4 linked regions of the Tamandua tetradactyla genome follow. The protein of the gene in region 4 interacts with the protein of the main gene of each other region in a pairwise test. Links are inferred from orthologs where the notes say so. Each region holds a gene or a part of one and is shown on either strand. Other genes may lie near its edges. The genes, in order: MYT1L, NEFM, DPYSL2 and TNIK.

What was found.
Region 1: the proteins of TNIK (region 4) and MYT1L interact in a two-hybrid assay, tested with the Homo sapiens proteins (2 studies listed by IntAct). The link is inferred for Tamandua tetradactyla from reciprocal best matches to the Homo sapiens genes TNIK and MYT1L.
Region 2: the proteins of TNIK (region 4) and NEFM interact in a two-hybrid assay, tested with the Homo sapiens proteins (2 studies listed by BioGRID and IntAct). The link is inferred for Tamandua tetradactyla from reciprocal best matches to the Homo sapiens genes TNIK and NEFM.
Region 3: the proteins of TNIK (region 4) and DPYSL2 interact in a two-hybrid assay, tested with the Homo sapiens proteins (2 studies listed by BioGRID and IntAct). The link is inferred for Tamandua tetradactyla from reciprocal best matches to the Homo sapiens genes TNIK and DPYSL2.

What each region holds. Positions count from the first base shown.
Region 1 is NC_135329.1:46,579,680-46,586,983, forward strand, and holds the start of MYT1L (myelin transcription factor 1-like protein), read right to left. Parts: upstream 3,195-7,304; 5' UTR 3,120-3,194; intron 1-3,119. UniProt on the Homo sapiens protein: Transcription factor that plays a key role in neuronal differentiation by specifically repressing expression of non-neuronal genes during neuron differentiation.
Region 2 is NC_135329.1:25,784,639-25,792,091, reverse strand, and holds the start of NEFM (neurofilament medium polypeptide), read right to left. Parts: upstream 3,090-7,453; coding exon 2,010-3,089; intron 1,277-2,009; coding exon 1,152-1,276; intron 1-1,151. UniProt on the Homo sapiens protein: Neurofilaments usually contain three intermediate filament proteins: NEFL, NEFM, and NEFH which are involved in the maintenance of neuronal caliber.
Region 3 is NC_135329.1:27,475,809-27,483,861, reverse strand, and holds the start of DPYSL2 (dihydropyrimidinase-related protein 2), read right to left. Parts: upstream 3,121-8,053; 5' UTR 2,991-3,120; coding exon 2,637-2,990; intron 1-2,636.
Region 4 is NC_135331.1:68,894,878-68,902,383, forward strand, and holds the start of TNIK (TRAF2 and NCK-interacting protein kinase), read right to left. Parts: upstream 3,145-7,506; 5' UTR 3,013-3,144; coding exon 2,956-3,012; intron 1-2,955. UniProt on the Homo sapiens protein: Serine/threonine kinase that acts as an essential activator of the Wnt signaling pathway. Recruited to promoters of Wnt target genes and required to activate their expression. May act by phosphorylating TCF4/TCF7L2.

The sequences.
Region 1 (7,304 bases), on a different chromosome or scaffold from region 4:
AAGATGCCAATTCTTCCCAAATTGATTTACAGATTCAATGCAATATCAAATAAAATCCCAACAGCCCACTTTGCAGAAAAAGAAAAAGCAATACATTTATTTGGAAGACAAGGTGGCCTAAATGTCTAAAAATACCTTGAGAGAGAGGAATGAGGTGGGAGTCTTACACTACCTGACTTTAAAGCATATTACAAAGCTACAATGGTCAAAACAGCATGCTACTGGTATAAAGATAGATATTATGACCAATGGAATTGAATTGATTGTTCAGAAATAGATTCTTTCATTTATGGGCAGTTGATCTTTGATAAGGTAGTTGAGCCAATTCAACTGGGAGAGAAGAGCCTCTTCAATAAATGGTGTTCGTAGAATTGGATATCCATATCCAAAAGAATATGTAAAAACCTTTTACAGAAATCAACTCAAAATGGATTAAAACCTAAACATTAGAACTAAGAACATAAAATTATTAGAAGAAAATGTAAGGAAATATCTTAAGGATCTTGTGATGAAAAGTAGCTTCCTAGACCTTACACCCAAAGCACAAGCAATGAAAGACAAAATAGATACATGTAGAATGGGATCTCTTTAAAATTAAACACTTTATGCATAAAAGAACTTTTCCAGAAAAGTAAAAAGGCAGCCTACACAATGCAAGACAATATTTGGAAATCACATATCAATTCAAGGTTTACTATCCAGAATATATAAAGAGATCATATAACTTAACAACAAAAATACGAACAGCTTAATTAATAAATGGGAAGACAACACAGACACTTTTCAGAAGAGGAATTACAAATGGCTCAAAAACATATGAAAAGATGCTCAACCTCACTGGCTATTAGGGAAATGCAAAATAAAACCATAATGAAATATCATCTCACATGCACTAGAATGGCCATTATCAAAAAATCAGAAAACTACAAGTGCTGAAGAAGATGTGGAGAAAGAGGCACACTTATTCACTGTTGGTGAGAATGTAAAATGGTACAAACTCTCTGGAAGACAGTTTGGCAATTCCTTAGAAAGCTAAGTATAGAATTGCCATATGATTCAGCAATCTCATTAGTAGGCATATGTTTGGAGGAACTGAAGGCAAGGACACAAATGGACATTTGCACATTGGTGTTTATATCAGCATTATTCATGATTGTTCAGAGCTGGAAACAAACAGCCCAAATGTCCATCAACAGATGAGTGGCTAAGCAAACTGTGGTATATACATATGATGGACTATTATGAAGCTGTAAGGCAAGATAAGGTCTAGAATCATACAACAACATGGATAAACCTCGAGGACATTATGCTGAGCAAAATTAGCTAGAAACAAATGGACAGATACACTATAGTTTCACTAATATGAAATAACATTAATGAGTGAAGTTTGAGAGTTCAAGTTGAGAAAACAAATTATCAGGAGATAGAAAAAGGGTAGAGATTGGGCACTAGATACTGAAGGAGTATAGGATATTCCACAGGACTGATTAGGAAGATTCAGAAATGGATACCATTCTACTATCTGATGGTAGTACAATATTGTAAGTACACTGATTGAAGCTGAGTTTGATTATGGTTGAAGGAGGTAGGCTGGGGGACCCGGAATGACACCAGAAGGAAAGATGAGGATAAAGACTAGGATAGTATTACTTAACCATGTCTAGAGAGGATAATTATGGTGGGCAAATGTACAAATATAAGGATGTTTTTGCATGAGGAAGGACAGAGGAATGTCAACATTACAAGGGGTTGAAAATTGGATGGTACATGGGAAGATATAATCAATGCAAATGAGGGTCTTTAGTTAACAGTAACATTTAATGTGCTTCCACTGAATGTAACAAAGGTAATATGCCAAAGCCAAGTGTCAGTAAATGGGGGATATGGGATTCTTTGCTGAAGAAATGGAAATGTCTTCATATAGATTGTGGTATGAAGGCATGCCTATGTGATTAACCTTGAACCATTGATCTTTCGCTTTGGCTGGATTATATGATGTGTAAATAAAATTGTTTAAAAATGAAAAAAAAACTACAAATGCTGGAGAGGATGTGGAGAAGTAGGCATTCTTATTCACTATTTCTGGGAACGTAGAATGGTGCAGCTATTTTGGAAGGCAGTTTTGCGGTTCTTTAGGAAGCTAAGTATAGAATTTCCATATGATCCTGCAATCCCATTGCAAGGTATATACTCAGAAGAACTGAAAGCAAGGACACAAACACACATTTGCACACCAATGTTTATAGCGGCATTATTCATGCTTGCCAATGGATGGAAACAGCTCAAATATCCATCACCTGACAAGTGGACAAATTGTTATACGTACATATGTGGAATATTATGCAGCTGTAAGACAGAATAAGGTTATGATCCATGCAATAATATGGATGAAACTTGAGGACATTATGTTGAACTAAATAAGCTAGAAACAAAACGACAAATTCTGTTTGGTCTTATTAAAATGAACTAACTATAATGAGGAAACTCTGAGATTTAAATTGAAGAGCATAGGTTATCAAGAGATAAAAAGAGAGCAGAGATTTGCAATCGGTGCTTAAAGAGTTCAGAATGTCCAATAAGGTTATTTGCAAATGTTCAGAAATTGATAGCATAATACTGTGTGATGGTGGTTCAATACTGTAAGTGTAATTAGCAAGGCTGAGTGTGAGTATGGTTGAAACAGGAAGGCTAGGGTTATATATATCACCAAAAGGAAAGCTAGAGAATGAAAACTGGGACTGTATAGTTTAGCAAAACCTAGTGTTAACAATAATGTTGATTAAATGTACAAGTATAAGAAATTTTTTACATAAGGGAGAACAAATGAATATCACAATTAAAACATATGGAAAATGGGATGGCATTTTGTTTGCTAAAGCTGCCAGAATGCAATATATCAGAAATGGAGTGGCTTTTAAAAAGGGAATTTATTAATTTAAGTTACAAGGTTACAGTTCTAAGGCTATAAAATGTCTAAACTAAGGCATCCAGGAAAAGATAACTCGACTTAAAAAGGGCTGATGGGTCCAGAACACCTCTGTAAGCCAGGAAGGCACATGGCTGATGTCTGCTGGGGTCCCTAGCTTTTGGTTTCAAACAGCCTCCCCAGGGGCATTTACTTTCAGGGGCATCTCTACTCATCTGGGTCTTGTATTGGCTCTGTTGTCTCTCTTGGCTCAGAAGATTTTTCCAAAATGGTTCCCTCTTAAAGGGCTCCAGTAAGCAACCCCACCTCAAGAGTGGAGACACATCTCCATGGAAACCACCTAGTCAGAAGGTTCCACCCACAATTGGGTGGATCACATCTCCATGGAAACAACTTAATCAAAAAGCCCTCACCCAACAATTTTCAACAAGGGTTAAATTTTCAACATGGCTTTTCTGGGTTACGCAACAGTTTCAAACTGGCATAGATGTTGTATGGAAAAATACAATTAATGCAAACTAAGGTCTATAGCTAACTAAAATTGTAATACTGAGGACGTTATGGGCTTTATTGTACACTAGTTTGCCTGTATCTCTGTGATCTAATTCATAAGACTTTATGTTGAGAGGCACTGGTGATGGACAGGCTCAGAAGAGTCTTAAATCCTTCCTATGTTTTCTCCAATTTCTTAAGGGTAGAGATGAATGATACATTTAGCAGTTGGTAGAATCTCTACATTGTAGTCCTAATAAATGGATTAACAAAATAGTAAATCAGAAGCATTATGGCATTACTGGGGAAATCGTGCATTTTAGTGTCCAGACAAAGTCTTGAAGAAACAGACCTGAAGATGCTTATCTTATTTCCTTTCATTCATTGGTTTGGCCAATACAGAAGACAGTGGGGTCTTGAAGAATGACAGGGACCTTAACTGAGGACTGTCTTCTGAATGTAATCTCTGTAGTCAAGCAAACAAACACAGCTCCAAACACAAGAAAATGGATTTTATTCCAATAAGAGGGTATCAATAAGAGTGGCTTTCTTTCTTATCTTAGGAACAAAAGTATATCCTCATGGCTTTGTACCAGATTAAATTAACTCTTCATGTTTGTAGACAACTTGATCACCTATCCATCTGATAGGACATGGGACTGAACCACTTTAGCAATAGCATAATGCTCGAAGGACGTAGAGAGTGGGGCTTAGAATTCATTCTAGATTTCTTGGTAAGATATAAGTGTACCAGAGACTGGGAGGTGAATTCAATGGAAATGCAGTCACATGACACCTTATTAAGTTATTGAGGTCTAATTTTCTGGGGAATGTCTAGGTTTTGTCTACAAAGAGAAGGGCAAGATGCTTTACCTGTATTCCCTACAAAATAGGGCTTAAGGCATTGGATGAGGTGGTAGTTCTTAATTATTAAAGGAATACAGAATGGCTGCTACCTAGCAAAGAAGGAAAGGAGAAATATAAATGGATGAAGGGGGTTCTTTGGGACATCTTTTAATGATGCTATGTTCAGTGGTAAAAGCTAAAGGAATTCTAAACCTGTCCTATGCAGACTGAACACTCAGGACTCATCTCTCTCAGTAAAGACATTTTGGGTCATACTGTAATATAAATAACTCTGACTAGCTGGAGTGGAGGCTGAAGGCAAAGATAATAGGGACTTACTAGAAGAGTGGGAGTGTTATAAACATCAACTATGACAATTATAGAAACAAGAAATATATTTTCTCTCTATTTTTTCTTCCTTGCTGGGTTAAATGAATGTTTATATAGTTTAATTAATTTTCCACTTTCTTCTACATTTTCCCCATAATATTATTACATTGGTAGTCTAGAGTTTAAAGCATATTGACCTAGAACGATGACAGAACTAGAGGAGGGGTGAAGAGAACCTAGAAGTGCTACATTTGGAGCTGGGCACAATGTGTTCAGGTTATTACATTTTGAGGAGAGTGAGGGCAAATTTGTGCATGAGATAAACACGCTAAGATACACCAGAGTAGTTTTTAAGGATGTATGTTGATGTAGGACAGATAAAGAATAGAACATAGTGGACATTTATTCTGCTTTGATCCTTTGTTGGGGAATTCCATCATAAATTTTGGTAGGTGGCAGGGGAGAACTCCCTGGTAGCAGCAGTTTCTGCATCAAGACTGAGGTCCTAGAATGAGGCTTGTAGCTTGTGCATAGAGGATGCAATGATGATATACCGACTGAACTTTTCCAATTGTGTGATGTGGGACATTGATAACAGCTGTAAAGTCCTTTTGCCTTGTTCTTCACTTCTGGGGATTCTGTGAACTCCCAATATCTTTGAAATCAATTGCCTTCTCTCCTTAAATGACCCAATTTGATTCTTCACTTGTACCTAAGAATTATGACAGATAAAAACATGTTAATATAGAACACGAAGACATGTGCTCACAAACAGGCATCATTGAAGGCTTGTTTCTGCAAGATTTGAGCCATGCTAATGGTGTATAAGTGTTTCTCCGGTCTACCTCTCATCATGGCTTTTTTGACATTGTAAGCAACATCTTTTGCCTGTCTTCTTCCCTTTGCAATATCCTCTTTCACTCATTAAAACACTCTCTGAGCCATCCATGTGGAGGTGACCCTTTTCCATGTTAAACACTCTATTATTCTAGCTCAAGAAATATTTTCTTTTCTGCCTACACCATGCACCTACAACTAAATTGTTCTGGATTCTAAATCATTCAGGAATCAAATGAGTAAATAGACTAATAAAAATGAGCTCTTCTTGGCACTGTTAACTTACCTGTCCTTTTATAATATTGAGGTGGAAGAAACTTTTCAAAGAATAACATCTTAATAATGTGTTTTAAATGTGTGGCCTCATTAATTTGTAATAATGGGCAAGTCCTGCTTTATCTTTCAATACACTACAAAGCAGGAATTCTGTTTCTTAATTATGGACTGAAAATGCCATTGTCTTCTATTGCGTTCTACTCTTGAGATCCTACATAGGAGCCATCCAAGCAGGATAAGGGTCAGTAATGCTGGCATCATGTGGGAGCTTGTTAGCAATGCAGAGTTTCAGGCTGCATCCCAGAGATATTGAATCAGATTTGCATTTTAATATAATTCATGGGTGATTTACATGCACATTGAAGTTTAAGAAAAATTGGTCTAGATCAATGTTTTCCAATAGAAACATAATGTGGACTTCCGGAGAAGATGGCGGCTTAGTAAGATGCACGGGTCTTAGTTCCTCCTCCAGAAAAGCAACTAAAGAAACAGAAACAATACGAAACAGCTCCCAGAGTCACGACAGAGACCAAAAAGACAGCGTACCCCATTCTGGAACAGCTGAACGGGCAGGGAGAATCTGCTGCGGTGAGATACCCGAGGGGCGCGCGTTTTCCCGGCCGGGGCTGCTGGCGACTGGGGTCCCCTCCACGCACGTGGCTCCCCGGTCTGACTGGGAACGTTGGATAGCGGGGCCCTCCCGTCACGCTTGGCGTTTCGGGCCAGCTGGGCAATTAGGACCGGCACTCTCCCAAGCTGCAGCGGCCAGCGACCCCCGCCTCCACGCGCGATTTCCCGGGCTGACTGCCGTGCAGACAGACGAGTGCCACGAGCGCCACCTACTGGGCAGGAAAAGAAAAACAGAGCCCAGAGATTTCACAGAAAAAGCTTTCAACCAGCTGGGTCCCACACCCAGGGAAATCTGATCAAATGCCCAGACACCAGCAGAAAATAATGGATGACGCTCGGAAAATTGAAGATATGGCCCAGTCAAAGGAACAAACCAATAGTTCAAAGGAGATACAGGAGCTGAGACAACTAATGCTGAATATATGAACAGAAATGGAAAAACTCTTCAAAAACCAAATCAATAAATTGAGGGAGGACATGAAGAAGACATGGGCTGAACAAAAAGAAGAAATAGAAAATCTGAAAAAACAAATCACAGAACTTATGGAAGTGAAGGACAAAGAAGAAAAAATGGAAAAAACAATGGATACTTACAATGGTAGATCTAAAGAGACAGAAGCTACAATTAGTGAACTGGAGGATGGAACATCTGAATTCCAAAAAGAAACAGAAACTATAGGGAAAAGAATGGAAAAACTTGAGCAGGGGATCAGGGAACTGAATGACAATATGAAGCGCACAAATATACGTGTTGTGGGTGTCCCAGAAGGAGAAGAGAAGGGAAAAGGAGGAGAAAAACTAATGGAAGAAATTATCACTGAAAATTTCCCAACCCTTATGAAAGACCTAAATTTGCAGATCCAAGAAGTGCAGCGCACCCCAAAGAGAATAGACCCAAATAGGCGTTCTCCAAGACACTTACTAGTTAGAATGTCAGAGGTCAAAGAGAAAGAGAGGATCTTGAAAG
Region 2 (7,453 bases), on a different chromosome or scaffold from region 4:
TATTCCATTAAGTTAGTTTAATTCCTGTATTACCAACATTTTGTGTCATATTCAGTGGCAGTGACAGATCCTCCTTGGCCATCAACCAGTTGCTTGCTGCAGTAATGTACCACACCCAGCTCTAAGTCATAACCTTGCAGCATTCCATTTGGTGCAACATGAGTATGCTAAAAAAGTTCCCTAGTGCCCAGAAACAACTTAGCAACCTCCATGAGCATTTGTACTTTCAGTATGTATACTAAATTTTTTTTAGCAAATATAATTATTCAAAAAAAATTTTAAATACTAAGCAGATTCCAGGACTTAAACCATATCAGTTTAAAGCTATGCACTAATATGTGTGTATCAAGTCATAAATTGGTCTGTCATTTCAATCATACAGTGCCAATTTAATATAATTATTCTACTTTCCTGAAAAGATAGCTCTGTGAGTGTAATTTATTCTGTAATATTATAATTGCCTTATTGAGAGTATAAAAACCATTTAATCAAGGGTTTCTCCCCTTTGAACTTAGTGAATAGGAAATTTACATTAGTAGACATGTTATTTTCTCTTTTTTCTATACATTTATCTGTACCCACATACATATGGGATATAGCTAGATATATCATCTATACCGTACAGCCTAATATATTATATAATGCCTCTAAATTACATATACCTATAAAATAAATATATTTATATTGCAATGTATCAATCTATATTCTCAGCCAGATGATGGCAATAGTAAGCTATAACAGAGAAAAAGAGAAATAGAGTGCCCTGGTATTTGTCCTTGACACAATAATAAAGTTGAAAAGCTGAAGCCACCAGGTGAAATATTGAACATTAAATCTCTGTTTATGCTTCAAATATGTAGAAAACATTCCACTAAAATACAAAATTTAAAGATAACGGTGAAATTCTTCAGCCCCCCTACATGTAATTCCGAACACTTTATTTCAACTAATGTTTATTCTTTTAAAGTTGTGTGTAAACTGTGTAAAACCACATTTGCAATTCTTTAGAAAAAAGTTCTTAATTAAGAAAACCAGTTGCTGCTTTAAGCCCCCCGCAACCAGCCTGTTTTAAGTAGTGAAGGTTCTATCTCCCGCAGCCTCTGCAGTGCGGTTGGTTGGTATTGCGGCCACGTCCGCAGTGAGGACCGTACCTGTATGCAGCGATCTCGATATCCAGAGCCATCTTGACATTGAGGAGATCCTGATATTCCCGCAAATGACGAGCCATTTCCCACTTTGTGCCCCGAAGCTCATTTTCCAACTGCTGGATGGTATCCTGAAACAGGTACAGGGAGTCTCTGTAGACCCATACTTCCAAATCGCAGCTTCCTTTCACTCCTTCCTCTCGTTCACCCCTCTCCCTCGCCCCCCTCTAGCGTTGCAAATCTTTTGGTTATCGCCCTACAGGTTTATTATTATTATTATTATTTAAATCTGAGGAATTCTCAGATTTTAATAATTCTCACACAAAGAAACAAGATTAATAAGACTTCCTGGACTAACCCATGCCTTGAGACCACTCAAACTAGAATGTCTCAACAAAAAAACATGCCATGCATGGGGAAACCCACGATTGACACTGCTCTTCCCATCTGAGCTCTTTGGACCGACGCCAGTTTTGAGAGTTCTTGTGATCAAAACTCTGAAAGCAGAGAATACGTGCGTTTCTGCAAAAGCTATCCTAAAGTTGCTTGCTTTATCGACTACTTTAAACGCCCAAAACTAAAAATTCCTAGAAAAAAAAAAAGAAGCATTTATTTATTTATTTATTTATTTATTTAAGGTCAGGACTCTTAACTAAGAGGGTTTGATTGGATGGAGGAGGAATGTGGTCGGGATTCGGACGGGCGAGGACACCTCGCAGTAACTAACTTGGGTTTGTGCGCGCGCGCTCACAGGCGAGTGGCCACCAGGGAGCGCGACGGAGAGGGCGATGGGCACGCGCGCGAATGTCGGGGGCGCGCGGCGCTGGCGCTGGCGCAGGCTGGCCACGCAGCCGCGGTTCTTACCTGGTAGCTGCTGAGGTCGTGGTTGTGGCGCTCCTCGATGTCGCTGAGCTGCCGCTCTAGGGATTCCTTCGTGCCGCGCACCGATTCCAGCTCGATACTCTTGGACTGCAGCTGGCGCCGGTACTCGGCGATCTCCTCTTTGGCAGATCGGATGGCCTCCTTGTTATGTTCAGCCGCCTCGGTGAGCTTGGCGTAGCGACACTTAAACCACTCTTCGGCCTGGTGCATGTTTTGGTCGGAGTGGCACTCGAGCTGGGAGCGGATCTCCTTCAGCGCCGACGAGATGTCTGTCTTCAGGTAGTCTTTGCGCTCCACGCTGATGTGCGACGCCTGGATCTGGGCCAGCAGGTCTGCCACCTCCTCCTCGTGATTGCTCCGCAGGAAGGCCACTTCGTCCTGCAGCGACTGTACCTTCTTGTCCAGCTCCACCTTCACCATCGACGCCTCCTCTATGTCTTTGCGCAGCGCGCGGATAGCGGCTTCGGTGTCGTCGCGCAGCCGGGCCTCCTCCTCGAAGCGCTCCTTGAGCCGGTGGATGTCCTCCTCCAGGTGGTCTGAGTCCAGCTGAACCTGTGCCTTCTCGTGGTTCACAAGCTCGAGCGTGGCGCGCAGCTCGCGGATCTCCTGATCGTACGCGTCTCCCAGCTGGGCGTGCGAAGCCTGCTTCTGCCGCAGGGCCTGGATCTCCGCCTCGATCTCCTTGTTCTGTTGCTCCAGGTAGTGCACCTTCTCGATGTAGCCCGCGAAGCGGTCGTTCAACCCCTGCAGCTGCTCCTTCTCGTTGGAGCGGGACAGCTTGAAGTCGCCGCCGGGCCCGGAGCCGCCGTTGAGCAGAGATGAGGACTGGCTAAAGTCGAGACTGCTCTCGGCCGAGCTGAGCATGGCCGAGCTGTAGGCGAGGCGCGGGGCAAGCGCGCTGCGCTTGTAGGACGAGGACACCGTGCTGGGCGAGCCTCGGGACCACGACTGCGAGCGGAAGCCGCTGGACGGGGAGCCGCTAACGCGGCTGAAGCTTGAGCGGGTCTCCGTTACCCGCCGGTAGGCGGACGGGTTGCCCAGCGCGTCCAACGTGTAGCTCATCTTGGTGGCCTTGGGGTGCGTGGCTGTCACAGCGTTCTGCCGGCCTAGCTGCAGCCCATTTATAGCCGCGGCGGCTGGTCCCGGGCCAGGGCCCCGCCCCGTGGAGGCGGCGGCCGAGGAGGCGGAGACTGCGGGCAACCCGGGCTGGGGTGTGGGGGTGGGGGTAGGGGGGCGGCTTAGCGGTGATTCAGCGCCGGCTCCACGTGGGCTGGTGCCGCAACGGACCCGGGACTTTGCTGTCCTGGACCGGTCCCTCCCCCATAGCTCCCCTTTCAGTTGCAGACCACTTGTCGCCCCGCAATCTCCTTCCCTCCTTTTCTTTTCACCTTCGGATAGCATTTTATTCTCTCGGTGCGAACATCCATCCAACGCCCTTCCTTTGTCTAGTCATCTCTCCCGCCTTTCAGGCGGCTCTTCCCCAGAAACCCTGGTCCCCTTGTTCTTTAGCTCTCTCCACTCTTATCCTCACGGCTTTTCCTTCTTTCTGTTCTTTCTCCATTACTTTTTTCCTTTGCCCATCTTCTGTGCTTAATCACTTCTCTCCTTTGAGACTTCTCTCTCTCACTTCTAGCCTTTCTTAGTCCCACTCACCCTTCAGCCCCTTCCTCCTGGACCTTTTGCTTCTTATTCTTTCCTCCACCCCTTTTCCTTTCTCCCCCTCCCCCTCCTTTTCTTTTCTCCCTCCCCCACCCTCTTCTTCACAAGCCTCCCTCCCCTTCCCCCAATCTTTTTATTAAAGCGGTAGGAGTAAGCGCAGGGGAGTTGGGCCTAGAAAAGGGGCGAGGGGTACAGACTTTGAGGAACGGTCGGCCGAAGGGTTAGGGAAGGGGACAAAGAGAATGGGCTAGGGTAATTATTTCTATAAAAAGTAGGATATGGCGATACATTCTGCTTAACGTGTGGGGGACGTCTGCAGCTTCCGCAGGGGCAGAAGGTAAGGCGCTCGGGCTCTCTACGGCTCAGGCAGCACCAAGGACAGCTCCCAGACTGGGGAGCCCTGAGATTTAGCCGTCCCCGGGGGCTTGACACCCAGAATCGCCTGTTTGGTTGGCAGGGTTTCCCCTCCTTCTCTGCGAGTGAATACAGTTAAAGACTGTAGTGGCTCTGTTTGCGAGAGCCAGGCTGGGAGAGCACGCTAAGTAAGACTTCTCTGCAATGCAGAGTTGACAAAATGAACAGATGCGGATTTTGAAAACAACCGAAATTCGTTAGTTAGAAATAATAACCTTGTAGCCTACTTTGAGTTGCCTAACATACGATGAATGCAGAAAATTGTGATATAGGGCCTCAAATTTGAAGGTCAAGCATTCCTTGAAAAGGGGATTTAAAATCTGCTAGGATAAAAAGTCCAGGGTAATATTAATATAGTTCATGCTTCGTTTGATCATAAACAACTGCCTTGCCATCTTTCAGTTCAGCACTCACTATACCTAACTGTGAAGGCTGAAAAGGCATCTGAATTAATTAAAAAGTTGCCAAAAAGATTCAGCAAACCTTGAATAAAACCAGGTATTTTCCCTCTTTTGAATGTAATTTAGTTCCCCATTTAGAGGTTAATAACTGATTTGGAATAGATTTCCCATGTCTTTAAACATGTTTATTTCAATAAAAAATATCTACACAGACTTCCTGCTGTCTGATGCACTGCTAACAGGTAAACTGTCTCTTTATTTTGGGTGGTGCTTTGGGGATAATTGGAAGTGAAAAGTTCATAATACTGCCAAGCAAAAAATAAAATGCAGGACTAAGGACAGTGTTTGTTGGGAGCATAGGCACAATTGACTGCATGTGAAATGCTTTCTGTGGCCGAGAAGAAACCACAGCTTGTGAAAAGTAGAGACTCCTGACTTCACTACCTTCTTTTCACTGCAGGCTTTGTCTGGTCCCTGTTTCATTAAATGACAAGTTGATATTAATCAGTAAGTAATCCTAACAGGCCTGGATATCTGGTGAAAGTTTTTGTTTTTGTGTTTAATCAGATATCTTGGCCCATTTATATTTTGAAATAGAAAGAGTTAATTTAAGGAGCTACTTTTGGTTCCTTAATGTGAAGCTGCAGCATTGTAGCCTGTGTGTGGGGAAGAATGTTCCAGTTTGCTTAGTGGCAGGTTACTCCGGCAAGGAGATGACCCCATGTCTCCTGTGGGGAGAGACAGATGACACAGTAAGAGGATTGATTTATGAATATGGTAGAAAAACAGGATTTTCTAGTTTCATATGGATACAAAAAGGAAAGAGAAAGAAAAAAGTCTTTTGTAAAGCACTGTCCATCACAGGGTTGGACTCAGCAGGAGGTCATTTAATTAAGGCCAGATGCTGACTGTGCAGTAATCGGATAGTTGAAAAAGGAGATATAAATTATTGTACCTTAGTTACTTGTTACTTATGTTAAGAACATAAAAACCCTTGGCAATGTCGTGCTGCTCATGCACTGAAAACACTTCTGCAGTGAGAGCACATGGTTAACCGACAGGCTTATTCTGTTAATTTTCTTCAGGGCTTTAAAAATGGGATGACGCTGCAGATAAGCATTTACAAGGAAACACACGTCTAACTTCACAATTAGTCTGTTTTGCCTGTATCTAAACTAACTCAGAAGTTGTTAAGCCTCCAACTGGTCCCAGAAGGAGGTAAGCATTGCATACAAACAAAATAATAGCTAATTATTCAGGCTAAATCTATTGCTTATAGCTTAAAGTTGTAACTTGAACAGAAATTAGTACTTTAGTATTGTTCAGTCAGGGCACAACAGCATAATGCAGAATAACAGTCATTTTATTAAGGAAAAAACTTCTAGTGGCATGAAAAGGATTGATCCAACTCCACACTTAGCAAAATATTTAATTTTATATTAGACTCACTTCCACCACTCTTCCTGAAGGTGACTTGAAGGTTATACCCATCAATAAATTTAGTGTAAAAACTTTTTAAAAAAAGCTTTCACAGACGTTCTTCCTCTTTTCTCCCACATTTATGAACACTTCTTACCCTAATATTTTTTATAGAAAGAAATGTAAGGTTTAGCATTTTTGCTACCCTAATGTCATTAAGATTATGGAATCTTCTGAGTATATTAACAAGACAGAAAATAAACACGGGATTTCTATCTTAATTTACAACATTGTATTGATGGAGTTGGTTGGCTATGATACTTTTGAAATTTATTCTAAGTAGGGAAGTTACATGTGCAACTTAGATTGGAGCCATTTAAAATGAAATCATCTCTGGATTGTTTCATAAGCTACAGTCTGTTTTGAATCACTTTATAGAGAAATACACAGCATGCTCCAATCTATGTGTTTCTTCACACATAGAAGCAGGTAAAGTACAATATTAACCTTGTAGTTTGTGAGTTTATTTTGGGTCTCATTGAATAATAATGGGAAAGTACTTTTTGCATAAGAGGTTTATTCATTAGGTCAAGATAAAAGATGGAAAAATAAGGAGTTGTGCACTTTCTTCCCTATTCTCCTGCTTCCACAAATTTCTTTTTAATGAATTTTTTTTTCTGATACATGTAAATGCAAAGAGGATGAGATGTGAGAACCGGGCAACAAGCAAGATGTTCCAATGGAAGAAATCACCGTAAAACTGGTAGGATGCCTCTGTCCAAGATTAACTGATCTGTACTTTCTTCTAGCCTCCTGTGATATATTGAACCTGGTCCTTTTGCTTGGATCTGATTCTGGAACTCATGATGAATAACCATTTATAAATTGTAATTTGTTAATTATTTAAAGGACTGTTGATATAGGAAGCTAGAGATTCAGTCTGCTGGAGTAGGAATGTAAGGAAAAAAACCTGTAATACTTATTTCTACTTTAGCCTTTTATGTCATACTTTAGAAGCAGCTTTTGAGTTTTGGTCTTTTTGATTTTAAATGCTGAAAGCAAAATAAAAATATCTTAAGGGAGAAAGGCTATTTTTTTCTCAGGAAAATTGGGACGTGCATGTCCCTATTGTCTTTAAACACAGTGTCCTTTTTTTCTGACATTAAACTACCAAAATGGTATTTGTTTCCCTTGCCGAATGATTTATTAATTGAACATTGCCTTATTTTTCTTTCAGTGGCTTTTCATGGAAAGTTAAGTGAAGTTTTGAAAAAATTGAAAGCATTTTATATCTATATATTTTTTCCAAATGAAAACTTAATCAGTTTTTAAATTCTATATCTGGAAATTTCATGTTTTATGCTAAAGCTTTCAGCTTAACAGAGCTTGCTGATTTTTTGCTGTGTAATGCCTTCACCTTACCACCATGAAATCAGTTCTGTGAAAGCCAGAGGAGGAGGATTTAGAATTTTAAAAGAGAATTTAATATAGCCTTATTAAAATTGATTCTCAAAATACAGTTCGGTACTAATG
Region 3 (8,053 bases), on a different chromosome or scaffold from region 4:
CACGGAGCCTTGCTAAAGGAAGAGCAGGACCCCAAGTATGACAGACGGGCAAAGCTTCTTCTGAGCAGATATTAGTGACACCTGTAAACCCAGATTCAGGGGAGGAGGGAGATTATTAGTCAGGGGCCCCATATTCCCCACTCTAGCTTTCTCCCACTTCTCTCTGTACCAGGCCTTCTGATAGGAATGCACTGAATCATGGATGGCCATCTCATTAACTGAAAGCTAAGTAATAATTAGTCAATTCCATCAAAATGGTGGGCCCAACTGCGCTTTTGGAAATTAATATAGTTATACACATATACACAACTGCACACCAAATAACTTTTCTTTCTTATAAAGATATGAAATATTGAAACACTGTAATCACTGGTCCAAATAAGTGCTCTTAGTTGTGAGTGAAAAAAGTCCTATGAGAATGGTCCTGAGCTTATAAAGCAAGATTGAAAATTAAAATTCAGGGAGAGCTGCAGAAGGACCAAGCCAGAATCACCCTCTGTTACAAAATATCCAGGCAACAGAAGCAAGTATGGGTTTGCAAAGGCTAAAATTACCTTGGTTTTGATCAGATATTATCTCTTCAAATACTCCTCTCCCTGTGCCTTAGGTTTACGATTCAAAATTTCTATTTAATTTAGAGAGTGTTCAAACAAGTAGATCTAATGAGCAAACATCTAAGCTTCTAAATGGACAGGAAAAGATGTGTTCTTTAACCCAGTGAAATTTTGTCTTTCAAACTTGTGTTTTATTTCACAGCCAACATTGTAGGGTCAGCCATCCTCAATATTCCTCCATCTGCCATATTTTTAAATGATCTCTTCCTTATTCTCCAAGATATTCTTTGGCTCCCTCTAGGATATTGGATTTACCGACACAAGTTGATGTGCATAAGGATGCTCATACAACCATGATGCTGTATGACCTTGGCCCTTACCCAATGCATTCACATATGGGAGTATTTCACACACAGTTTTCAGTATATGTTACATTATTGGAAACTTCTACTTTAATTGTATAGTTACTTGGAACAGAGTTTTGGATTTATGTTTATCTGGTTGATACACAGTGAGGCATGGATATGAGATCCTTCCCTATTTGAGTAAATCAGAGGACGGGGCAAGGAATAAAGTAAGTGATTAATTGCCCCACCTTTTAAAAAATGAGAGCAAATGCTTTATCTCTCCTAGAATTGGAGATAATCCCAAATAAATGAAAAAGTGCAAAATGCCATGCCATATCAAGAAACAGTATCATCCTTAGGGCCAATATCACCAACTCTTAATTGTTCTCTAATGCTTTCACTGTAAGCATACAATCTGAGTGCCAAACAAATGCTTGTGGAACTCCTTAGTGAATATGCAGAGGCCACTCCCAACTACTCTAGAAGCCCCTCCAGGAGAAGAAACTAACTTGAACTTTTTATAGCTGACCTTCCTTCTGCCCCACAAGACAAGGTATTCAATAAATAATCATTCATTGATTGAGTTCTCATCTTCACCAAAAGCTAGATAGAACCAATGGGCATGGGAGAGAAACAACAAACAAGTTTTAAAATATTTTAAACAGTAAAGCATCAATTAAGAAATTAAGGCTGTGAAAAAAATTGCACAATTATGAAGGTCACCCCAATAAAGAAAAAACTGTGGTGTGAGAAGACTGCTGCATTTACAATGCACACTGCGCATATCTGTCGGACAGCGATAGGTATTTCCCAAAATCAAGATTTACCAAATTGGCCTTCTTTGTTTCCCCATTAACACCGTATAGGGTATTCTCTTCGACAATTTATTAGAAATGTAAGTCTCTCCCTCTTTTCTTTTCTTTTTTAATCCTTTGACATAATCCACTTAGTCCCTATCCCCAAAGAACCTCCCAAATCGCGGCATGGGGAGAGCTCTGGGAAGCCCTTGTCGAGATACTTAGAGGAACTCTGTTCTCCAGAGACGCTATTTAGAAGCGTCTCGGTATCCTCGGGTGATTCCACATCCTTCCTCGCTCTTCTCATGCTGCGAACAGGAGTTTAGGGTGATGAGAGTCTCCCAGGCGGGCCAGGGAGGCGCTGGCCATGGTCCTGGACGCGAGCTCAGAAGGCTCCCGAGAAGGTGGGGCAGGAGAAAGCAGGGCGGGGTGGGGAGCGGCCTTCTGAGTGCCGGCCCCTCCCGACCTCGGGGGAGCCCGCAGGCCTTCATGCGAAACCCCTCCACTGCCCGCTCCGAGCTGCAGCAAAAAAGGGTGGGGCACCAGCCACAGCTGCAATCCGAAGCCGCCCGGGAGGATTTAAGAATAGAACCGCGACCCCTCCCCAACCCCACCCCACAACGCGATCCCAAGCCGGGGATCGGCTGGTCCTGTACCCCTCAAACACCATCTCCCAGGCCCAGATGGATGCGGGCAGCCTTTGTGGGCGGAGAGCCGCCCACCGCTGAGCCGGAGCGTCCCCGCACCCTGGGTGGCGAAGGGGCGGGGTAGGGTGGGGTGTGTGTGCAGATGCGGGGAGGCCACACTAGAGGTGGGGGGAGGGGGGCATGAAGGGGGCACGCTGGGATTCTCGGATCTCCGCCGAGCTGGAAGGGGACGAAGGAAGGGAGGCCCCACCGCGCCCCGTCCTCCCTCCCCTCCCCACCCCCCATACCAACCTGGTCGTAGATGTTCTGCAGGGCTTCCTTGCCCGAGGCCCGCCGGATCTCCACCTTGCGGCCCGATTCAACAGATGGCTCCCCCGCGGCGCGCCGGCCCTGCCGGGAGTACGGCGGCTGCGAGTCCGGGCCCAGGTGGGCGACGTCCCGCTGCTGAGCCACCACCTGCCCTGAGCCCCGGCCCACCGACAGCGAGTCGAAGTCGATGGTCTTGTTCTCCGAGGACCCTTCCACCGGGCAGAACATGCCGCAGAATTTCTGCCGGGGCTTGGGGCTGCCCGACCCCAGGTTTTTAAAAAAGGCAGGGACCTCTTCGTCCTCTGCCTGCTTCCCGGATTGCTTTCTCTCGGCCATGGCGCGGGGGCTCGTGGGTGGATGCTCTCCTCCAGTCCGTCCGTCCGTCCGTCTGCCGGTCCCTAAATCTCCCCCTCTCTGTACAAAAACCCCCTGCTTGCTACCGAGGCTGTCGCTTTCTGCCTACCGCAAGGTGCACAGAAAGGAAGGAGGGCTTCCGCGCGGGCGTCCCACCCCTCACAGTCCCTCCCCCTGACCCCGCTTTCTCCCCCTCCCCGCCCACGCCCCCCGCAGCCTCGCGAGCTCCCGCGAGCCGCGGAGTTGGGCCCGGGAGGCGGCCGCTGCGGCAGCGGGTGCCAGAGGCTGCTGGTTCCGGGCAGCGGCGGCGGGAGGAGAGGTGCGAGCGGGGCGGGGCGCGGGGCCCGGGGCCCGGGAGGAGGGGGGCGGGGAGGGCAGCGCCGCCGAGAGCCCCGCGCTCCGGAAGTGAAGCGGCCGGACCACCGGCTAATGGATGCGGAGCCGAGGGCCCGTGACCGCTCTCGGCCGCCGGGGTGAGTCGGGAGGCAGGGCACGTGGAGGCGAGGACCCGAGGGGGCGGCCCCTGGGTCCCCACACTTCTCTCCCCCACCTGCCCGGCAACGCGGGGGTGGGCCGGGGGCGAGTGCACGCGGAAGGTAGGGCTCCCTCTCCATCAGCCGGGGTGTGAGCTGATGGATGTGGAAAGAGGAACAAACTGGGAGGCTCCAGGACATCCGGGGGAGGGGGCGGCGCTGGGAGGGGGAAGAGGTGGCAGCGCGGAGAGGAGACGTCCATCCGAGGCTCGGGGAACCAGAGCCTCGGTCTACCCGTGGGCCTTGGTGGGTCTGACGCGAGAAGGTTCTCGCTTGGTGCATCCACAGTGGTAGGGGCCGCACAACATGGCGGGGACAAATGCCGAGGGGCGTAGCAGAGGGGAGTATAATGACTGTATGAAGTCTGTGCGAGTACGGCAGAGAGCGCAGTCTGCAAATTCGCGCGCAGCGATTTGTAAAGAGAGAGAAGGTGCCGAGCCGCTGTGTGCCCGAGGGAGCCATGTGCCATATCTATGCCCTTGCGCCAAGAAGGGCTAAGAAGAGTGCCTTTCTTTGGCATCTTCCACCTGTACCAAAGCGGGAACAAATGCACCTCAAAGCCCACTCCTTAAATCCTCAGCCCCCTTCCGCGCCCCCGGCACCCGCCTCGACTCCCCCCGCCCCTGTTGCGCACTGCGCCACGCCGCGGGGTTCTCAGGTTGCCAGGCGCCGCCTTGAGTGCTCGCGCCCGCGTCCACTGAGCGGTGGGGAATGGGGGCGTGAGAGAATGCCTTGAATTGTGTACGGTCAAGCGTGGGGAGGGCGTGCAGACACGAATTTGGAAGTGCGGATGTTCCAACAACGGCCCCCAGGTTGGTGAGCCTCCAACGGGCATTTTGATTTGGGCCAGTAACAAGGCCTCCGCGGGCTCTTCACTGCTTACTCGCCATCCATCCTAGCCTCTGGTCGCGTGCAACCCCGCCCCTCTTTCCACAGTGGCAAATCTTGCAGAAATGGTACCCTATCCTTTGGCGGCTCGGGAGGGAGAACTGGGCATGCTCAGTAATCAGGGTGGGTTTAGGCTAAAAGAAGCGGTTTAGTACACGCCCTTTGTGCCAGGCAGGAGCCCAGGCTGGGTCCCATTGATAATCCTTCCTTGCCTCTGGAACGATAGAATACCGATTCCCCACCTCCGTTGTGAATGACGGTTTGGTGAATAGGATTAAATTTGGAGGGCATCCAGTCACAGTTTGAAGAGGAGCCCACTATGACGTTGGGTAAGAGACTCTGAATGAGAAGGAGTGAGTGAGGAAGAAGAATAGACCTGTGGAGGAAGGAGTGAGAAAACCGCAGGCAAGCATTTTGGACTTAGCATGGAATATGCTTTGCATGTGCTTTCACATGAATCATGGTTTCCTACTTACAGCACCCCTGGGAGGTGAGTGGGACCAGTGAATCCTGACCATATCCCAGGTTAAGAGACTGAAATTTAGAGAGGTGGAGGGACTTTACCCATGGTTAATACCCAGTTAAATGGTACAGCAGTTGCATTGAGGGTTTTCCACCTGAAAGTCTAGTTCATTTCCTCATTCTTGAACTATGTGAGAAAATATAAGGCTTTAAAAATTTTCCCATAGCCAGATATTTCCATCCGTGGCCCTATTATTTATCAATAGCGTTTTTTTTTCACTAGCCATCTTTCCATGTGAGGGTCACACTGCAGGTAGGGATTGCCTTTGGGAGGAGGAGCCATTTCAAGGTAGTACAATCTCAGCCTTTTAGTTATTACTTAGACCTGATGGATATCTCTTCCTGGGCATTCAATGACTTTTTTACATCCAGAGTCTTCTCTGAATATTCCAGTGGAGGAGGATGTTCTCCCCATGTCTTTGAACGGGAAAGTGAGGCATGGAAAAGAGAGGTCAGAGAGGCTCAGAGAGTTAGGGTCAGGGTGTCTTCACTACCTCCCAGAAGTACTCAAGATATATGCCTGGTGCAGGAACAGCAGCAGCGAAAGCTACAGGTTGACATTTGTGGCATAAGGACCCTGCACAGATTGATGGAGATTTCATGCCAAGGAATGATGGTTTTAGCACCTTCGCACATACTCCACTGTAGAAACTGGTAGGCATTAGGAACTCTTTGTTTTTTATTTCCTCATTCTCCAAGACAAGCATGATTGATGTGCTTCTTACCTTTTTCTTTTTTTATTCAAATGACCCATTTAAGTTCAAGTGCTAGGAGTGCTCCTAGTGTTGTGCTAGTAATGTACCAGTCATAGCAAAAGAAACACCTAGTTATGCATTTGCAAAACCTGACCATACATAGCAAAAGAGAATCCATTCATAATTCCAAGTTTAACTTCTTTAATGCTGAGATTTTTTCCCTGTTATTTCTATTTCGTATGATTGTTAAATGTTTGAACAGTTCCTTACTGGGTATTTTTTTAATCAAAGAAATCAAGCAATTCAATATCTGTTGCAGACAGTTGTCATCCTCTTTAATAAGTGTATTAAACAGTCTTCATCATTGGAAATTTTTGAGCCATAAAAATACATTGTAATTCTTTATATGAAACAGGCAGTTTGACTAGAGCTAAGACTGAGATGCACCATCATACAAAGTTGCATGACACCTTCCTGTGCAAGAAGCAGAATAAATAAGCTTCTTGATTCGCAGAACATTCTGGAACACCTGAACGGTTATCCAACTACATCAACTGATTTTATTGTTAATGTGGGAAAGATCTTGAATCTTTTCCATAACTGGAGCTCAGACAGTAATAGGCATGTCTGGTGAGAGCATCTGGTGGGGAAGCAGATTGCAGGAGGGTCCCCAGAAAAAAGACTCACTATTAGCAAAGAAGGGGTCTGATAGAGTGGGCTAGATAGAAGTTCAATGTGAGGCAGATCCCTGGTCAACCCCTACTAGCATCCTAAACTAGACTGTGCCTCAGTACAGAAGATGTTTCACCGCTGAGTAGAAAGAGGTGAAGCATCAGAGACCCGGAGGCATTGGTGAAAGCACCTGTTCAAGTATATCAGCGATCAAAGAAGCATCTGCATCACTACATGTCTGCCAGCATCAGTGAGAGAAACCACAGCAATGGGACTGCGGAGCCACAGGAAGGGACACTGTTATAAGTGAGATACAATCCACCCATCTTGGGTCAGTTCTAGAGACATAACAGGAAGTACTGAGTTTTTGTTTGTTGGTTTGCCACTGGGCAAGTAAGAGTTATTGGTCCAGAAGACTTTGAGACAGCTTTTAGAGTGACCCAACGTGGGACCCATTCATGGGTGGGTTATAAATGTGGGAGCTCATTCTGGATTTTTTTAAATCCTAAAGCTTTAATAAATATTTGGGACAATGGCATTGGTACTGTTAGGGGACTCGTGCAGGATAATGAGTCTGGATGCTCAGAAATCACTGCTGGTTATGGGGACACCAGTGGACTGTGATGAAGCTTAGATTCAGGGCACTGTCAAGTCTCTGGGCAGGTATAGACTGCTTGGGAAAATATTCAGGCGGCAGGATAATGCCAGTGCTGTCTTGTTAGAGCTTAAGAAAGATGTTGATAGCTCAGTGAACAGGCCAGTAAGATTGTCAACGAATGGCAGGTACCACAGGCAGAAAAGAAAAGGTGGCTGATGGGATGTGTGTGTGGCTCCGTGATGGACCTCACACATGTAGTGCAGGCAGACAATCCGTCCATAAATGTGGGGGAGTGTTGGGAGGCATTTAAACTAGTGTTTGGAAGCCTGGAGAGCCGCAGGACCTCATAGGTTAAATATCTGAAGACCTATCAGGAGGAAGGAGAAAAAGCTCCACCTACGTGCTACAGTTAGAAACCTTGCTCCGAAGAGCTGTGGAAAAACGTACGATTACTAGAAATGTTGCACATCAGGTCCATTTGGAACAAGTCATGGCTGGGGCTAGCATTAGTGAAATACTTTGGTGTCGGCTTAGGGAGCTGAAAGATTAGGGACCATCCCCCAGTTTCCTTGAGTCAGTGAAAGTGATACAGGAAGAAGAGGAGGAAGAGGCCTCTTCTGAAAATGAGTACCTTGAGGATCCAGTTGATGGGGATGGATTTGGCCATCAGGATGATGAGGCAGACAACTGAGGACAGCTTGGAGCAGGACCCACAGCAAGTGGGCCTAGGGACAGTCCCTTTATCAGGCTGAGGCCTTCTCATTGTTTCCTTCTTTTAATGTACTGGATGGAAATCCAAGGCATTTAAGTCAAGTCTTGCTAAGAAAAAAATATCTGAGCGCTTCTTGAACCCTATGTAAATTATTAATAACAAAAGATAAGATTCCACATATTAGACAGTAAGCCTAAAGGAATCTGAAGTACCAGTACTTCACATTTACTTTAAATACATCAAATACACCAAAATTTATACCACAGACAAAATACTTGACTTGAGAAAATACATCTTCTGTGAAATAGTTTAGTATTTATTTATCATCTATTTTCCTTTCTCAAATCAGCAGAGGCTTTCTGAGTACCTGGCATTGTGAGTCATAAACCAACCCAACACGTGCCTGCTCCCAGTGAGTTTACAGT
Region 4 (7,506 bases):
TGAAAACACTCTCCCTGCTTCCCCCAAGACTTAGTTTATCTTTGTGAGCTCTAAAAATCAGGACTAAGTAAACCGGATTCAGATGATCTATTTTCTAACTAAAGAAGATCCTGCTTCATCTCACTTTTTAAAACCATGCAAACCTTGCATAATTTAAATGATAAGTGCTGTCACTGGTTGCCCTGGTTTAAATTATGCATTGTTACTATTTAGGGAAAAATTAGACTGGGTCCAGCTCTAGGATCACTGGCTGAGAACAATAAACCCCCAAAATGAGGATAAAGCCTTCTCCAGACATGAGCTGGTTTTAATGCATTGAGCCTAGGGTTTACAAAAAGAGCATTGATTGTGTACATTAGAGAGCCACAGAAACAGCAAGGGATTGGTAAGGCTGCAGCAAATTCTCCCAGAAGCCACTGACCTTGGCTGCATTTCAGGGGTCAGGCATTCCCCAGGAGGTTTCTGGCACAGAGGCCTTTCTGAGATCTTGGGGAACAAATTCATTTAGCTGAGCCCACCTCTCCTAATTTGGAAAGACAGCGACGATCTGCCCTCTGATTTGGGGAGATTACCTGTGTGGCCTCTAAACCCTCTCCTGGCTTGTATGCCCCCACGAGACTTGTGGGTTGCCCCCAGCACCCGGGGATGTGACTGTCTCCCATCTCCATTGAAGTTCACCACCAGCCAGCACTTCTCAATCTCTGGTGCTACTGCCCTCCCCCTTTCCAGTTTTGCACTAAACTGGCACTGCAGGCAGGCCACAAAGAGCCATACCAATGAATCGTGGAAAGATATCTTTGCAAAATACAAATTTCACACACACAGGTATTATTGGAAAAATACCTTTGCAAAATGCAAATTTCACAAGCGCAGGTATCCCAAGTGTGAGCCGCACACCCCACTGGCTGGGTGAACCCGCTGCTGGTAGCCTCCAGGCTCTGTGCTTGGGTGTCTCAGAAAATCTTCCCGAGGAAAAATCCCAGGAGGACACATCTCAGCCCAACTTAAAATCACAGCGGAGTGCTTTGCATTAGAGGAGCGGTGTCTGAGATTCAGCCTCCTAAACATCACCAACCTTGCCGGTAGCTCAGCTCCTGTCCCCAGGAACTGTTCCCCCGCCCCCAAGTCTGGGCCACCCATCCACCTGATTAACCGCGGCCACAGCAATGCCTGGGGCAGAAAGTAGGGCGAATGAACACACACAGCCCCTAAAGCAGGAAACCACAGACTTGGCCAAAGCACCCACCCTGTTAAGAAACCTCCGTCTTTCCCTCCCCACTCCCCAGCCCCCAGTCCCCGCAGCTGCCCAGGGGACAGCGGGTTCTGAACGTGGCATTTCAGCACCAGAGAAACAGCTTACTGTAATGGCACATGAATGAGCTTTTGCTGCCCAACTATTAGAACAGCCAGTTTCAAATGGCATCTCTGTTCCCTCTCAATTCCTTGACTGCCTTGCTGAAACCTCACCTCATGGACTGAAGAATTTAGAGTGGGAGAAGGAAGTTAGAAAAAAAGGGGGGGGGGGGCTGGAGAGAGTGGGATTAATGAGGCTAAAGAAAAAAATAAAACCGCTTTGATCAGAGTGGGAACTCTTTAAAATATTCGTGGAGACCGAAGCAAAGTCAGAACTCCGGAGTCAGGTAAACGGCCCAAGATTTAGCATCAGTCTGAACGGCATATTCCTTGCGAGGGCATGTGTGAACTTCAGTGTGTCACCCACCCTGCGTGTTTGTGCTGAGAGCCCCTCATCCATTCGGTCTCATTGACCCTCCAATGCACCAAGTACATGCAGTGGCTTTTTTTTTTTGGTTCAGAAGAGGAAGCCATCGTCCATAAATCGGTGCCCAATCCTTCTCCTCACTCTTTTCTCGGCAGGCAGCATCTAATTAAAATGGCAAGAAAGCTCTGCCCCCTTCCCCTGAGGACCGTACTGGGATTGGGAGTGGGGGGTGGGGAAGCGTAGAGGCTGCACTGGGATTCCTGGTTTTCTTATCTCAAAACAACAGCAAAATGGATTCTGTACCAGTGATGTCTTAGTCAATACAATGGAACGGCATCTCAGGCAATTCGCGCCGAGGGAAAGGCAAACCAGTGGGGCCGGGGCCGTGGGGGGGAAGGTGTAGGGGGGGCGCTACAAAGAACTGGCCCCAGACACAAGGAAAACAGACATTCCCGGGAGTTCCGGCGCGATGGGAGGTGGGGGTGGTAGCAGAAAAAGACCTGCCGTTCACCTGCTTGAGTGCAGCCATCAAGCTAAATTGTCACAGCCACAAAGTCAGAAAGCACGGGCGGGGCTGAGTGAAAAGCAGACAGAAAGGTGAGTGGCAGAATGACATTTCCCGGAGCGCGGAAAGGGTGCCGGGGCTCAGGAGGCAGACGGGGAGGGGAGGCAGGGGCCAGCTGCAAGACCAGCCTAGCAATCGCTGGCCCCTTAGGGCAGCAGGTTCGTCTTCGTGGGGACAGTCATGCACACAATGTCATCTTGCAGGTAGCTGCAAAACGCGAGGAGCAGGGGCCTTTTATTCACGCCGTTGATCATTCTTTTTGCAGAAAGGGATAGTCGGGTCTCGCGCCTTGGCACAAGACGGCTGCCCTGGGCGTGTACGCGCGCGCGTGCACACACACACACACACACACACACACACACACACACACACACACACACCAGTAAGTCTTTCATTTTAATGCTCTGACACTGGTCTAAGATGAAACTGGCATAAGGTCCACGCGCTCTCACAGAAGTCTGAGCCACAGCCAAAGGAGGACACGTACCGCACGGTCCCTGCCACCGCGACTCATCCCGGAGCACCTTAGCAGTCTCCGGACCCAACCGACAATCCAAGTTCCCTGCCGGTTCCATTCCCTGCCTCTGCCCGTCAGCCCCAGCCCCCGCACCGAGCCCACTCACCCAGCCCGAAACCACTGGAAAGAAATCGGAAAACGCGTTCTGCTCACCCTCAGAGCCGAGAGATCAATTTCATCCAGGCTGCGAGCTGGGGAGTCGCTCGCCATGTCGACTTCCTCTCCGGAAAAATGGACCAAAACCACCTCAAAGCTTTTCCCTTGCAAATTCCACCTCGGTTCTACTTCACTCGCGTCCTCATGAGCGGGTCGCGCCAGAGGTCCCCGGGCCCAGCCTCCCCCGCCCACCCCGACCCCCCACAGCGTCGGATCCCGATCCTCGGCGAGCCTGTCCGCCGGGTCCGGGAGCGACCTGCGCCGATCTCCAAGCCCGGAGCCGCGGTGCGTGTGGGCTGAGCGCCCCGATCGGCTAAGGGCGCTAGGGCTGCGTGGGTGTATTTAAATGGGGCATGCTTCTTTGCTTGTGCGTGGATGGCGGCTGCATTGGCTGTTATAATGAGACACATCAACTCCTCCACTCAGCTTGGGGGTGGGGGTGGAGAACCACACCGAGCTGTCGATCACCGCTTCCTGGGAGGAGTAAAGGGGAGGAGGGGGAAGGACGCGGAGGAGGCGTGGTCTCGGAATGGGGCGAGGTCGCGCTTCCTGACCGGTCCTCCGCACCAGCACCGAGGGGGGAGGGGTGCACCCCTTCCGCCCAGGCTCTCGCGGGCGCGTCGGGCTGGATCCCAAAGGCTGATCCTGAACCCTGACGTGCTTATCATATTGACAAGGCTTTCTTCTTGTGTTCGATTCGTGCGCTGCAGCAAAATGGCCCGTGCCATCGCACACTGGGATTTCTCGGCGGGTCTCAAGATGCTCTGGCGTTGACAAAAGTCGGAGGCAGAAAGAGCAACGGCCTCCCTCCCCCATCATGAATTTGTGGGGCCGGAGTTACGCGGTGGGTGCAGCCGGTTCATATAAGGACTTGTGTGCAGGAAGAGGAGATCCGCCTCCAGCCTGCGAGCGAGTAGGGAGAGGAGCGCATACAGTGCGCCCAGCCCCATTTGGCAGTTTGCAGCGATTGTGGCTCGGGGCCTCCGGCGGTCTCCGGGATGTGGGATGGCCTGTCCCCCGCCGCTTCGGGGCAGGGGACGTTTGCCAGAAGCCGGAAACCCGGGAGATCGTAGCTCCGGCTTGGGCTCGCCACACCCGTGACCTGCCCCTGCCGCAGTTCCCCCACGGAAACGACCGAATTGAACCGAGAAGCTTGTGCTTAGGTTGTAGTTGCTTCTGTGCTCCAGGTAACTGTCCAAAGGCAGCACTGGCTGAGGCAGCGCACGCTGCCCCAAGATTCTGCATTTCTTTTTCAGCCAGCGTTTCCTCCGCTGACCTATCCGAACTAGTGGAGAAAGTTTGGCCGGAGGATAAAATGTTAGCAGGCAAGATGTACGCGTGAGAACAATTGCCCTTCACTCGCTTTCTCATTGCAAGGCCGAATGTTTACAGTGGTAATCCTGGCATTCTGTAATCGAGGGTGTGAAATCACTTCCCTCAAGCCCTTCCTCTCAGGCCTGGGCCACGCTCCATTAGATATTTAAGAAGAAAACGCTTTAAACTGAACTTTTTCCCCAAATACAGTAGTAACTTTGGAAATATTCTCTGCACCTCTGATAGGAAGAGAATTTCCTTCTGGCCAAGTGCACTGAGGACTTTGAAATCATGTGGTGTGCATTTCAGCTTCCTCCGAGTAAGGATCTTGACTGAATGAATGGAAGCCAAACCAGTTAGTTCAGCCTGACTGCCAGACATTAGGGGGCTTTTAAACAACATTGGTGTGTGCTGTACTGTTTTTGTTAATATTATCGTATTTATTCCTATACATTGTGGATCATTCAGTATGAAACTTGAAAGCTGCTCTAAAATCTCATAACAGTTTTGTTTGGGAGCTTTCTCTTTAAACATTATTTTCAAGCGTATTAACGTGTTATATTCAAAGCGCTTGTTGTGACCTCTCATTTTCTAACACAACCACACGGTTCAGTGCAGTAAGTAACATGCAGTAAGCCCCCAAGCTCTGCGAAATGACGTAAAAAGAAAAAGCTCATTTCTCATCTTCCTGTTCTTCCCTCCTATGTCCCCTTTTTTTTGTCCTTCATCTAGAAAATTAATGTATTGACTCATGTTGAAAGAAAATAAGGATCAGACATTGAGATCTATAAATAGAACTATTTTTAAACCTCCAACACAGGAAAAAATGGGGTAAAGATGTGGTTGCTTTGTTTGTTTTCCATAAAGCATCTTGATTTTGTTACCCAGATTTTATTCAAAATGTCACAAACGGATCGCTTCTTTAGGCATTAGTACGCTGTCCAGGCCATGAGTGTGCAATGATAACGGGCATCAAATTTCTATCCTTGGATTCAGAATTTGGTTAGGAAATTCTGCTTTCGGTGCAGTGGTGAGGTAGAGGGCGTCCTAGGGGCCTGAGAGGAGCTGAGAGGGGAGGAGGAGGCGGGGATACTGGCTGCAGACAATACCATACAAGGGGGATGATCACAATAGCGAAGGCACCGCCAGCTGTTAGGGTAAGATGAGGAGAAACTCTAAGCAGATGTGTTGCTAGAAGAAAAGTAAGGCTGGTGACTGTTAAAAAGACTGGAGAGGTAAGCAGAGGTCAGATGAGGCAGAGCTTTGCATGCTCAAATGAGGACCTTGAACTTTATCCTCCAGGTCAAGTGTGTATGAAATTTCAGCTACTCCAGTACAATCTTTGTAACTTATTGTCAGGTCTGTGTATACCTGTACTGTTATTATTGCTAAACTTTTTTTTAAATCAATACTTTACTTTTTTTCTTACATTAATTTAAAAGGAAACATAAATCACTATGGTACATGGAAAGCTAGCAACACTTGGTAAAAAATAGAAAGGAACAATTAAAATAAACATAATGGAAAATAAATGAATATTATTAAATTGAAGCTAGCTATCATCGCTTGCCCCGGGCTTTTAGGCTGAGGCCTGCTTTCACTTTGTTAAAAGAGAGATTAGTAAATGCCAGAAAAGGCATTCAAGACGTGAACCAAAGTACAATTTTCCTCTTTGGTGTAGTCTGGAAGATTGAGAGAATTTATACCATTTATGTACAATTTGAAAGCCTGCAGAAAAATACTACATGCTATTTTATGTCCATATAAATTTGTTGTAAACTATGAAAAGCATGGACACAGGCAGAAAGGAGACAGCTCAGCCTTAGCATAGTGAGAAGGGAAAAAGAAATGGGAAGGCACAAAGGATGCTTCAACAATATTTAATTTGTCTTAAAAAAGCAAAAAGACCTCAAGCAAATATGATAAATTGTTTGGAATTGTTAAATCGGGATGGTTGGTGATCAGATTTCATGGTATTGTTCTTTTTCTTTCTGTATATTTGAAAAATGTTTATATATTTTTAAATATTTATAAAAAAGAAAGAAAATCCCTAAGTGGGTAATGTTCTCGCTTTTAGGTTCAGTATTATTTAATGTCAAATCATGCACCACCTAAAATCACACTGGGGATCTGAAATACCGCTTGTGTACCTTCTAAAAGCATATTCCCTGCATCTTCTATAATAACAGAAATCCCTAGATATAACAAAAAAGGATATTTTAAAAAATTCATTATAGTTCTAGAAGACACAAAAATGCAGCCCCAGTAGTCCGGAAACTCAGAGGATTTCTTAGGTTACATAAAACAGGCAAGACTGGATTACCAATGGAGCCACAATCAAAAACCATCTGGGGCCGGACTAGAGTGAGAGCAGGGGCAGCTTCAAGCTTAGGGGCAATGGATCTAGGATTAGGCACATTTATTTGGGTGAGTGACCAATGAACTGCAGTAATTCATTCTCTGATTCATTCAGCAAATATACAGATTGCTCACTCTGTGCAAGATACAGTTCTAAGCTGTGAAGATAAAGCCTTTTGTTGGAAATTGTCTTAATTTCCTGGTTGCTATGACGTAGATGCATAGTGGGTTGGCTTAGTAATGGGAATTCACTGTCTCATGGTTTTGTAAACTGGAAGGCTTGCTTCCTCGTGGGATGGGTAGTTGTTCTGGCAGGTTGGCAATCTTGGGGTGCCTTGTCTTTCCCATCACATGACAGTGTCTCTTCTGAGGTCCATCTGATGCCTGCGTTTCATCTTCTGACTTCTAGCTCCTCCATTCTGGCGCTTCTCTGTGGTTTCTCTTTTAAAGACCCCCAGAAACAGGATGAAGACCCATCCTGATTCAGGTGGACACACCTCAACTAAAAATAGCATCTTCAAAAGTCCCATTTACAATGGGTTCACTGCCACAGGCATGGGATCAAGAACATGTTTTTTTTCTGGGGTACATAATTCAGCCTACCACAAAGATTGAATCATGCCCTCCACAAAAGACATGTTAATCCCATAGTCCTCTGGGTGTGAACTCATTTGCAAATAGCACCTTTGAAGATGTTACTGCTTGTTAAGGTGTTTCCTCATGTGTGAATAGGAACTCCGAAGATCCTACTTCAAGGCCAAATGGAATCAGAGTGGGCCTTAATCCTTATGACTGGAGTCATTATAAGCGGAGAAAATTTGAACACAGGCAGTCAGGAAGAGCCAGGAGTCAGCAGAAATCTGAGGAGGACATGAA